Linked DNA regions of Macaca mulatta. The protein of the gene in region 2 interacts with the protein of the main gene of each other region in a biochemical or structural test. Links are inferred from orthologs where the notes say so. Each region holds a gene or a part of one and is shown on either strand. Other genes may lie near its edges.

Region 1 (4,356 bases), on a different chromosome or scaffold from region 2:
ACCAAACCCAGTTCCCAAGTACAAGCTAGAAGGTCTTCTTAGGAGAAGATTCTGCCGGTGGGGGGCTGGGGTAGGGCACGTCTCTGCGTCCTTACCACTGGCAGTCTGTCCAACAGTCTACCCTTAATTCCATCTGCTTTTGCTCAAAAACCTATACTGAGAAGTGGAAGGAAGTTGGACTTACTGCACAGCAATGGAATGAGAACACATCCACCTTAATTATAGCAGTAACAGTAACCACTTTTATGCAGCACCTACTGTGTCCCAGGCACTAGTCTAACTGCTCGACGCGGATTAACTCATTTAATCAGCCCTATGAGGCAGGCAGTTTTGTTTTTTTTGTTTTTTTTTTTTTTTTGAGACAGGGTCTCACTCTGTCACCCAGGCTGGAGTGTGGTGGCACAATCTCCGCTTACTGCAACCTCTGCCCCACCCCAGGGTTCAAGTGATCCTCCTGCCTTAGCCTCACAAGTAGCTGGGACCACAGGCACAAACCACCACACCCAGCTATTTTTTTGTATTTTCTGTAGAGACGGGGTTTCACCATGTTGCCCAGGCTGGTCTCGAATTCCTGAGCTCAAGCAATCTGCCCACTTCAGCCTCCCAGGGTGGTGGGATTACAGGCGTAAGCCACCGTGCCTGGCCCAGAGGCAGGTACTCTTAACACCACCTTGTACCACAGGGGAAACCGAGGCACCGGGAAGGGAAATGGCTACGGTCACACAGCTAATAAGAGGGGTGCAGTCAGGTTTTGAACTCATAAATCTGGCTCCAGAGTCTATGCCAAGGATGTATAAAATTTGGCTTCCTGGGGCTACATCGCAAGAATTGTCTTAGGCCACACATAAAATAACACTAATGATAGTTGATGAGCTCAAAAGGAAAAAAAAAAAACACTCGCAAAAAATTCGTATGGTTTAGGAAAGTTTACGAATTTGTATTAGGCTGCATTCAAAGCTATTCTGGGCCACATGCAGGCCCACGGATGGGACAAGCTCAGTTTATGCTCTTAGCTGCTACTCTGTATACTGTCTCAGTGATAACACAACCCCTACAAGCTCAAGGAAATATAGGGCAGGTGCTCAAAAGCTGGCAAAGTGGACAATAAGTGCTCTAAGGGAAGGTGGTCAGATCCCAAGAAGGGCTTCCTGCCCGCGACAAGTAAGGGAGGAGAAAGAAGCTTGTGTAAAACGCTCAATACCAGGATTCCTCCACCTTCTCTGGACCTTGATTCAGTCTCCTAACTGCCACAGAAGGGATGAAGGCTGAACTCCAGCTGGGATGTCCTGACGTGGATGGGACAAAGTGGGTTTCTGCAAGAGAGAAAAGACTGACATCCACCTCGGCTGGTGGAGGGCCCTGTGCATGAGAAGGGGCAAGATGGCTACCCTCTGACTAAAGGGAAACGGAGATCTTCCATTTTTGGCAGGGTTGGGAGATAGTTCCTATCCCGTGGAAGCTAAGGACTGTTTGAAAGGAAGCCAAGGGCAAGGGATGGAGAAAAGGACGCAGCTGGGGCCTCGATGTCTGAATCCCTGCCAGGGGATGGGGCCTGGGCACCCATCATTTGGAACGGAAGATGAGGATGGCCGGAAACAGACACTTCAGAGGAATGAGGGAGACAGAAGAACGACAGCAAGAGTTAGACAGTCCAACGTCTGCGGCTCTTGTAAGGGGGAAAGAAGAAGTGAGGCTGGGCCCCAATAAAATATGTTGAGGCCGGGCGCGGTGGCTCACGCCTGTAAGCCCAGCACTTTGGGAGGCCGAGGCGGGCCGATCATGAAGTCAGGAGATCGAGACCATCCTGGCTAACAAGGTGAAACCTCGTCTCTACTAAAAATACAAAAAATTAGCCGGGCGTGGTGGCGGGCGCCTGTAATCCTAGCTACTCTGGAGGCTGAGGCAGGAGAATGGCGTGAACTCGGCGGAGTTTGCAGTGAGCCGAGATCGCGCCACTGCACTCCAGCCTGGGCGACAGAGACCGAGAGACGTCATCTCACCAAAAAAAAAAAAAAAAAAAAAATTGAACAGGAACGTATGAGTTGAACTCTGTGCATAAGGCTTGCCAGACACCGTCTTGAGTTTCATAAACCCACCAGGAGAGCTGATTTTTCTTATTTTACGGATAGGGAAATGAAGCAAGAGAACTTAAGCTATTTGCCCGAGGCCATCCTGGTAGGTCTGTGTTTGGGAGAGTGCTGTGACTCACGCTGGACTCTAACCCACGAGGGTTTCTCGGGGTCAGCAGTTGGGGGATGAAAACATGAAAAGTGTGGCTGGCAGGAAATTCTGCAAGCAGGGAAAGGGAAACAGAAATTAAATGGTGCAGGTCTCCGGGAAGAGAATGAGACTGGATCCACAAAATCACAGGAGGAAGCAGGCCCAGACCTCACAGGCAGAAAAAGAAAGAAACCAGAGTTTAGGAGGAAACCAGACCCCGGAGCTACGAGAGGGCCGGATCCCTGGCTCAAAAGGGAGGAGGGGCCTGGACCCTAGGAGTGGGAAGGAAGAGGTCGGATCCCCTGATCCCCAGGAGGAGGGGACCGGGCTGCCACCCAGTTGGGGCCCCGCGAGGGCGGGGCGCGGAAGGATCCGGGCGGGCCATGCTGCGCCACCCGAAGTATTTCTGTCCCCAGTCCCCGGGGCCGCCTCATTCCCCGTCCTCAGATCACGGTCTCTTCTAACTACAGCGTTCTCCGCCTCCGCCTGCGTAGCCCCAGCCATGGCTCTGTAGCCTCGACCCCTTTGTGCCCCCAGCCCGACTCCGCGCTTACCACGCCTGCGCTCTCCGCTCCCACCTTCTTTCTTCAGCCGAGGCCGCCGCCGCCTCTCCTTTCTGCAGCCATGGAGTGAGTAACCGCTTACTTGTCCCTCTCCAACCGCCTTTCCCGCCCTTTCGCAGCTCGTGGCCCTCTTTAGGGAGCCCTGGGGGGAGGGGAGCTGCGAGCGGGGAATCACGGTCGCGCAGGCGCAGAAGAGGTACGGTGGGCCGAAGGCGCGCGGCTGCGCATGCGCACTGGGCCCGGAGCCGGGTGGGAGAGTTCTAGAGACTCGATGTTTGTCAGCCGGCGTGTGGCTGCGCCTGCGCACTCCAAGGGAGGGTGTGGTCTTTTTCTAAACGATTCTGTGCGTGCTTGGTTGTTCCTGCGCAGTAGCCTACCAGTGCCCCGTAATGAATGAGCGCGGGCCCTGAGTGTCCGCGCATGCGCACTGATCCCCAAGAAGGCGGAGGTGTAAAGCAATTGGACAGCTCGGAAGACGTAGCATGCGCTTTGGCCCTTGGCGCATAGCCGCGTGTGGACGGCTGGCGTTCGGGTAGCAGTTCTCTGCCTGCCCCCTCTACCCTCCTCCACCCTCCCTGCTCCACGTTGCTCTGGCTCACAGCCCAACTTCCTTCCTTTTAAACCAGGCACCTGCTGAGGCGGGGACTGGCTTAGATTGACAGGGGAGAAGGCGGGGCTTAGAGGCAGCCCTCTAAGTGGGTGGGGCTAGAACCACTGTCGTCACGATGGGTGGGATTTCGTGAGCCCATTGTGAGAAGGGGCGGGGCTAAGCCAACCTTTAGCTGAGGGGTGGGGCTTCGATGGGACAAAGAGGCGGGGCCTCTGGGGAATCGGAGAGGGGCGGAGCTAAATAAACAATGAGGGGCGGGGCTTGGAGGGACAGTGGCAAAGCGAGGAGTGGGATTTGAGTGGATAACATTGCTGAAGGGCTGGGGCCTGGGGCAGTTCCCCTGGGCACTGGTTTGGGATGGAAGCTAGGAAGGCAGTGGGGCCAAAAGGAAATATTTTAGGGCAAGGGGCGTGGCTGGAAGAAAATGTCCCTGGAATTGAGTTTTTCCATGAAGCGGAATATTCTGAGGTGGATGGGAGGGGCCTAAGGTAATTCCCCTGGGAGACCCTTAGGTTTCTGTATTGGGGGAAAGGGTGGGGCATCGGTCCTACCTTAGGACCTAAAGAAATTCCCTTGGGAGTGGGTGGGGCTCAGATTTGGGTAAAGAAAGGGCAAATTTAGAATTCGGAGAGGCTGAGGCTTAGTTATAAACTGTGGTTGGAAGGGGGAGGGAGGAGCCCCGTGGACGTGCCTGGGGGTGTGGCTTGGCTTCCCCATGATTTTGGCCGGTGGATGAGGCTTTCCTGACCCCACGACCCCACCCACTCTTGTCTCACACGTGTAGGTCTTCCACTTTCGCCTTGGTGCCTGTCTTCATCCAGCTGAGCATCCTCCAGAGCCTCGTCCCAGCTGCTGGTGCAGCCGCTCCTGTTGCCATCAGTGCCCTGCACCTGTGCTACAGCGCCCTGCACCTGTGCTACAGCCATGTCACTCCTGGCCACCCTGGGGCTGGAGCTGGACAGG
Region 2 (3,060 bases):
ACTCCAGCCTGGGCAACAGAGCAGGACTCCATCTCAAAAAGAAAAAAAAAAGGTGGCACATGCCTATAGGCCCAGCTACTCTGGAGGCTGAGGTGGGAGGATAGCTTGTGCTCAGCAGTTAGAGGCTACAGTGAGTTATGATCACCACTACACTCAAGCCTGGATGACAGAGCAAGAACTTGTCTCTATAAAAAAAAACTAAAAACACACACAAAAAAACCATCAGGAGCTCTCATTATTTACTACTAGCCCTCCTTCAGTTCACCCCGTCCTACACATGCCCAGTACTCACTTCTGGGACCACTCGAGGTTCATGCCAGACTGGGTAGAGAATGCCTGCAACATTTCCTGCTGCTCTGGAGAGAGGGTGGGCACTGGGCTGGAGGAAGGCGTGGGCGCAGGCATAGCGAAGGCTCTTTGGATCTCTTCAGAACTGGCATTCCGCACAAATAGCTCGTCGTTTACAATGCATAGCCTTGAGGACAAAGAGCACTTAAAAAGCTAGACAGATAACGTCATCCTCCCATCATTCCTATTCTCTGATTCTTTCAATATCCACAAGGTCCCTCCCTCCCCCCTTAGCTATTGTTACCTTTTATCATTTATCCCCTCCCATGGAATCAATGTTTGGAAGGATTATCTACCAAACACACTAGAGTTCTCCCAACCCATGGACAGTTCTTAGCTCTTTTATTCATCCTCACGACAAACTTAGGCAGTGAATATTGTTAAATGAATTTTCAGATGAGGCAGCAGCCTACTTGCTGGAAGTGGTGGAGCCAGGATGAAAACCCAGACGGCACAATTCCAGAGCCAAGCTATTAACTAACTTGCTCTTAACTACTATGTGAGCTTTCCCTGATTTCCTGTTGCCTTTCTGAAATCACCCCAAAGACTGACTCTACCTTCCAATTACCACACTGTTGGCCATGATTAGGACTGGTATCCAATGTGAAAAGCAGAATACTTACCCTGAATTGCTAGCAGGAACAGCAATGAACGTCCGGGTGAAGGCTCGCAAAGAATCCCGGGACTTTCCGTCCACTGCAATGAGAACAGCAACGACACCTTAGGGTCACTAGTGCTTTATGTTTACAAACAGCTTCTTGAATCATGGTCTTCTTTGATACAAAGAATCCTAGCGGGTCAGAGAGGGATGATTAAGTATATAAGGGTATAAGGGAAGCAGAGGTGGGGTGAAAGGTCAGGTCAGAAAGGACAATAGTAATAACTACGGCCGGGCGTGGTGTCTCATGGTTATAATCCCAGCACTTTGGGAGACCAAGGCAGGTGGATCCCGTCCAACATGGCGAAACCCCGTCTGTACTAAAAATACAAAAATTAGCTGGGCGTGGTGGTGCGCGCCTATAGGCCCAGCTACTTGGGAGGCTGAGGCAGGAGAACCAGTTGAACCCAGGAGGCGGAGGTCGCAGTGAGCCAAGACTGCGCCACTGCGCTCCAGCCTGGTGACAGAGTGCGTGCGTGCGTCTCAAAAAAAAGTAATTACTACTAATCCACTGATAGCATCTGTGTGCCAGGCCCCAGGCCAAGCACTTTGTAAGTCACTTCAGTTACTTCCTATAGCACCACTATGAGATGGCTATTACTTAACCCCAACTTACAAATAAAGAATCTGTCTTAGAGGTAATGTTACTTGTCCGCAGCCCCACACAACCAAAACTGGGATGGAAACTAAGAACTGCCTGACTCCAAAGTCCTCCTAATCCCCAGGCTTTTCCCATAGCCAGAAAGGACAGGTGGAGAGGCAGGCCAAGCCAAGACGGCTTGGGTTCAGAATGGGAGAAGGAGCTCAAAAAGAAAATGGGAGAGAAAGTAGCTGGGAGGCTAAGAGTGCTGAGGAAAATTCCAGCTGGGGGTGGGACCATGCTACAAACTCAGGACTCCAGAGATTCTTACCTTCCTTGAAGACTCCATTGACAGAAAAACACAGCAGTGTACTCTGAAAGAGAAGCAGCATCGGGTACAATGTACACTTCTCAGAGCCTGAGTGCCCCCCCTTGTCTATTAAATGCCACCCCCACCCCAATTTTAGGCTTCTGTCAGGGCACCAACAGGAGCTTACTGTCTGGGCGCTTATGTCTACCACGAAGGAATTGACGTCATGCTGGGTTTTGGGCAACTCGTTGAGGAAGGCAACAACGTTGAGACGCGTGTGCTTCAGCAGCCGGAACCGCAAGGCTGTGGGTGGAGGAGAAAGCTCAGCGGTGCTGCCACATACTCCTGAGTTCTATGACTGATTCCTTCCCATGCCCTTTTCCCATCGTATTTTGTTCATATCACACACTTACTAGGGTCTTTAAGCTTCTTCACATTTCTGCTATCCTTGAAATACTCGGCCAAGCTGCTTCTGGGGGAATAAGAGGATTGGACGTGGTGTTCAGAGCAGTGCTGCCAGCAGGTGCTCCCTTGTATCTGCTGGGAAACCCAGTGGTCCCGGGGAGATTCTGGGATGTGATACTCACCGGGCAGGGTTCTGAGGAATGAAAGGAATGCTCAGGGAACAGCAGGCCCCATCATGGTAGGCATCCAGGAGCCCTTGCCGGTCTCCAGAGTCATAAATTGCATAGTACCTATGGGAAAATCAAAAGAGAAAGTATGAACTATGTGGTCTAGAGCCATAAAAGGACCCAGTAGCTCCCAAGAGTGAGTTGTGGCCGGGCATGGAGGCTCATGTCTGTAATCCCAGCACTTTGGGAGGCTGAGGCAGATGAACAGCTTTTGCCCAGGAGTTCAAGACCAGCCTGAGCAACATGGCAAAACCCTGTCTCTACTAAAAATACAAACAAAATGGCTGGGCGCGGTGGCTCATGACTCTAATCCCAACACTTTGGGAGGATAAGGCAGGCGGATCATGAGGTCAGGAGTTGGAGACTAGCCTGGCCAACACAGTGAAACCCCGTCTCTATGAAAAATACAAAAATTGGCCGGGCGCGGTGGCTCAAGCCTGTAATCCCAGCACTTTGGGAGGCCAAGACGGGCGGATCACAAGGTCAGGAAATCGAGACCATCCTGGCTAACATGGTGAAACCCCGTCTCTAC
Region 3 (4,362 bases), about 61 Mb from region 2:
TCCAACTCAATCTCCCGGGCTTGGCGATTCTCTGATTTCAGCCTACCGAGTAGTTCGAGTACAGGTGCAAGCCACCACACCTGGATAATTTTTGTATTTTTCAGAGACAGGGTTTCCCCATGTTGCCCAGGCTAGTCTTCAACTTCTGGGCTCAAGCAATCCACCTGCCTCGACCTTCAAGGTGCTGGGATTACAGGAGTGAGTCACCATGCTCGGCCAATACTTATCGTCAAATCTCTGAATTTCTTATTCCCCTAACCTTTCAACAAATTGCATAACTGCATATAGTCTCATTATTGGAAATTAAACATTTGTACCATCATTCTTTACTTTCCAGGTTAACTACCACCACATAAATCATATTACAAGAAAATAATAACTAATTTTTTCAAAGCTGTACATTTCGTTCCTTAAAAATTCTGCTTGCTCTATCTAGAACCTAGTAGACATAAACAAAGTCAGGTACCAGCTAGACGCAGTGGCTCATGCCTGTAATCTCAGCACTTTGGGAGGCTGAGGTGGGGGGCGGCTTGAGCCCAGGATTCAATACCAGCCTGGGCAACATAGCAAAACCCCGTCTCAACCAAAAAAATACAAAAAAAATTAGCTGGGTATGGTGGTGCACACCTGAGGTCCCAGCTACTTGGGAGGCTGAGGTGGGAGGACTGCTTGAGCCCAGGAGGTTGAGGCTGCTGTGAACCGAGACTGCACCACTGCACTCCAGCCTGGGTGACAGAGTGAGACCCTATCTCATTAAATAAACAAACAAATAAATGTCAGGTACCAAAGTATCCTATAACACATAAACAGCAAAAACCATCTTATCTGGGCCCCATATTTCAGGAGCCTCTCTCTATTGACTACTGCTAGGTAAAACTCCTCCATATTTGTCTATTCATTCAAGTAAACACACTTACTGAGGGCCTACTACATGGCAAGCAACTGGACAACAAAGATAAGATGAAAATATTTACCAGCCTAATAAAAAAACAGCTAAAATAAAAATATGTTCTATAAATACAAGTATCAAATAAGTGTTATGGAAGCTTGCAGAGGAGAGAATGCCAAGAACAGCTTCCCAGTAAAGGGTGATGCTTGAACTGAGAAAATGTCATGGAAAACATACCCTGTTCACACTTTACTATTTAGACTACGGTTCTCTTCTGCACTACTAGTTTTGAGTTTATGCTTTGTCATCTAAACAAGAGCAAAGTAACAATCTTACTGATACGAACAGAACCAAGTGTCAACTAATTCAATTTCATCAAATCTGAAGAGTCAAAAATAATAATTTTACCCAAGTATTTCCCAGTACCTTTATCCTGTCCAACCTCTAGTTTTGGTTTTTAAATACCCTAACTTCCTTCACCAGGTAAACATACTGTAACCCAGTTAACTCGAGTTTCTTCTTGAATTTTGTTTCTTCTTGAATTTATAAGACCGTCACAGGGAATGATCACGGCTCTTTTCTTTCTTTATTCCAGTTAGCTTCTTCCTCCAAAACGGAGTTTTATTTCCTCACCTTATTCTACTATAATACTTCACTTTGAATTCTGTACCTGAAAGGAGCCATGAGTTCCAAGGTACAACTACTACAAACGGACTCCTGCCTGGCTTTCTAAGTCTTGTCAATGAAAATTTCCTGCTTTCTACTCCAGTAGTTATAAATCCCTAACTGACTCCGAATCCTCATCAGCTGACACAAGTCAAAAAATTCAGATTTAGAAAGGGAAATAATGGCTTGTAGTTTTATCGATTTGTTTCCAATACATAACAACGATGACATTCTTTAACCATCTTCTAAGTTTAGTTCTCGAGGTCCAGGTTAGGGTACCACTAACAAAGCTTCCACCTTACCCGTGAACACAGCTGGTAGCAACTAAATGGAAAACGCTATGAAGACTACATCTACGTCTAACTACCTAACGTCCATGCCGCACCGACCTCCCATAGGGAATTCTTAATAATGGGAGACTGAAACATTCAGGGAGGGTGAGGTAGTAGAAAAATTTTTAGACTGTCAAAGATCCGGCATTGACTAATCCTACCTGTTACTCCGGGCCTCGATTTCCCCTATCTACAAAACTGAGGTAAGGTAGGGGGATTGACTCAATTTCTAAAGTCCTTATGGCTACAGTAATCCAGAAACTCAATCTTTCTCATCTGGCTTTACACTGAACACGTGGGAAAATAAAAGAACCTTTTGCTCCACCGAACCGACTCCTATTCTCAGATATTATCTTAAAAATCTCACAAACTTCAGACTCACCCTAATCCTCGGGGTGCCCATTTTCCTTATGGAGAAGCCAAGGCAAAATAAAGCCCAGTCCCACACGACGGTCAAGGAAGTGCGGGCAGACAGTATTCAGGGTCTCAAGGCGCTGACTCCGGAAAGGCCAGCCCACCGTGGGGTCCTTACACCACCGAATGAATGAGTACAACCAGACTCTCGTGGGCAGCAACCGGAGACCTCCAAGCCTAGACCCCACTGATGTTCATTTTCTCCCAGGGCCTCCAAAGCCGGACCTCCCGGGCTCCGGGTCCTGGGCCCCGCCCCTCTCTCAGGCCAGAAGGTGCGCGCCGCTGCGCGAGACTTCGGCGCGGAGAGGCCCTGGGACGCCCCGCGCGTCCGCCCGCCCGGAAGAGAGTAGAAGCCTGCCGGTCTCGGCCGCTGCAGCTCGGGCTCCCGACTTACCGCGGTTCGGTGGGGAAGGCGAAGTGTCAGGAGTCCCGGCCCAGGCCCGTCTGCCACCCGCCGCTCACAGAGCAGCGCGCGGCCCCCCACGAAACCGTCGCCGCCGCCGCTACCACCACTACTACCGACCGCCGCTTCGGGCGCAGCGCGCAGAAGGCCCGACTGCGTCACACGCCGCCGGGCGTCAGAGGCTCGTTGCGGGCGCTCCGCCCTCGCCGTCCGCACATTGGTGGTTGCTGCCGCCACTCTGGGTCGACCCTGTTATTCATTGGGCAACGCGTCTTTTGAATCCGAACGTGGGGGCGGTCTTCGGGGGGGGGAAGGGGCGAGAGGGAAGAGGAGGGGCACAAGGAGTTCGGGGAGGCACAGGGGTGGGGCGGTGAGAGGGCCGTGGAGTCCCGCCCCTCGCCGCCGCGGTTGGCGGGAGCGTGTCGTGACGTCACACAGGGCCTCTCGATGTGGGCTTGTGAATGGCTAGATTGGGAAGCACCGGCGGGGTGTCGGGAAGAGTGGTGACGCAACACAGAGACTCCGCCCCCTTCTTGGAGTGCAGCGACTTGGGCTGAGGGAGCTCGGGCCAATCAGAGGGACGGCCCCAGAATGGTATGGTAACTATTCGACCCCTTCCTTGCCCCGATCCGCGGGCGCTGCTGGGAAGGCTTCCTAGTCTGTCTGCCCGCACTTCCTGCCCAGACCACGTGCGGAGCCTGAGGGCCCTCTTGGGAGGTCTGTCTGTCCAAAGAGTTTGCCCGAGGCTGCTTCAGGGCCCTAGATGCTGACCCTATTCTCTCCTGACCCATGCTTGCCCCAGCGCATTCTTTCCCTCCTTGAATTTCTAGGATAGACATTAGGAGCATTAGAGATGCCCTAAGGGCCTGGCCCACCAAAAGGCCTGGTACAAATGAGGTTTGTTGGAACGTCTTTCCCGGTTGCACTTGGAGAACCCTTACCTTTTTTTTTTTTTTTTTTAATTTTAAGATGGAGTCTCGCGTTGTCGCCTAGGCTGGAGTCCGTTGGCGCAATCTTGGCTCACTGCAACCTCCGCCTCCCGGGTTCAAGCGGTTCTCCTGCCTTAGCCTCCCAAGTAGCTGGGATAACAGGCGCCCGCCACCAGGCCGAGCTAATTTTTGTATTTCTAGTAGAGACGGGGGTTTCACCGTTTTGGTCAGGCTGGTCTCGAACTCCTGACCTCAAGTGATCCACCCGCCTCGGCCTCCCAAAGTGCTGGGATTACAGGCGTGAGCCACCTCCCCCGTGAACTCCTACTTTTTTTTTTTTTTTTAAGATGGAGTCTTGCCCTGCCCCCTCTGTCTTCCAGGCTGGAGTGCAGTGGCGCTATCTCGGCTCACTGCAATCTCCGCCTCCCAGGTACAAGAGATTCTCCTGCCTTACCCTCCCGAGTAGCTGGGATAACAGGCACTCCCCGTGGCGCGCGGCTAATCTTTGCATTTTTAGTAGAGATGGGTTTGGCCAGGTTGGCCAGGCTGGTCTCGGACTCCAGAACTCAAGTGATCCGCCCGCCTCGGCCTCCCACAGTGCTGGCCTTACAGGCGTGAGCCACTGCTCCCAGCCGAACCCCTACTTATTCTTAAAGGACAGGTATTTCAAATGTTCCCATCTTCTCAGTGATACATTTGCCAGGCTTTCCCAGCGAGTTGAGCTAATGC

What was found. The genes of interacting proteins can lie anywhere in the genome.
Region 1: the proteins of NXF1 (region 2) and NUP62 form a complex in vitro, tested with the Homo sapiens proteins (3 studies listed by BioGRID and IntAct). The link is inferred for Macaca mulatta from reciprocal best matches to the Homo sapiens genes NXF1 and NUP62.
Region 3: the proteins of NXF1 (region 2) and NUP98 form a complex in vitro, tested with the Homo sapiens proteins (5 studies listed by BioGRID and IntAct). The link is inferred for Macaca mulatta from reciprocal best matches to the Homo sapiens genes NXF1 and NUP98.

The regions. Positions count from the first base shown.
Region 1 is NC_133424.1:62,390,435-62,394,790, forward strand, and holds the start of NUP62 (nuclear pore glycoprotein p62), read right to left. Parts: upstream 2,852-4,356; 5' UTR 2,775-2,851; exon of another isoform or gene 2,653-2,774; intron 1,314-2,652; exon of another isoform or gene 1,202-1,313; intron 457-1,201; exon of another isoform or gene 312-456; intron 1-311. Other genes in the region: ATF5 (cyclic AMP-dependent transcription factor ATF-5), read left to right, coding at 4,318-4,356. UniProt on the Homo sapiens protein: Essential component of the nuclear pore complex. The N-terminal is probably involved in nucleocytoplasmic transport.
Region 2 is NC_133419.1:11,261,689-11,264,748, reverse strand, and holds part of NXF1 (nuclear RNA export factor 1), read right to left. Parts: intron 2,592-3,060; coding exon 2,484-2,591; intron 2,369-2,483; coding exon 2,310-2,368; intron 2,200-2,309; coding exon 2,084-2,199; exon of another isoform or gene 2,070-2,083; intron 1,961-2,069; coding exon 1,918-1,960; intron 1,079-1,917; exon of another isoform or gene 1,045-1,078; coding exon 972-1,044; intron 476-971; coding exon 293-475; exon of another isoform or gene 247-292; intron 1-246.
Region 3 is NC_133419.1:72,004,696-72,009,057, reverse strand, and holds the start of NUP98 (nuclear pore complex protein Nup98-Nup96), read right to left. Parts: upstream 2,852-4,362; 5' UTR 2,696-2,851; exon of another isoform or gene 2,646-2,695; intron 1-2,645. UniProt on the Homo sapiens protein: Plays a role in the nuclear pore complex (NPC) assembly and/or maintenance. NUP98 and NUP96 are involved in the bidirectional transport across the NPC. May anchor NUP153 and TPR to the NPC.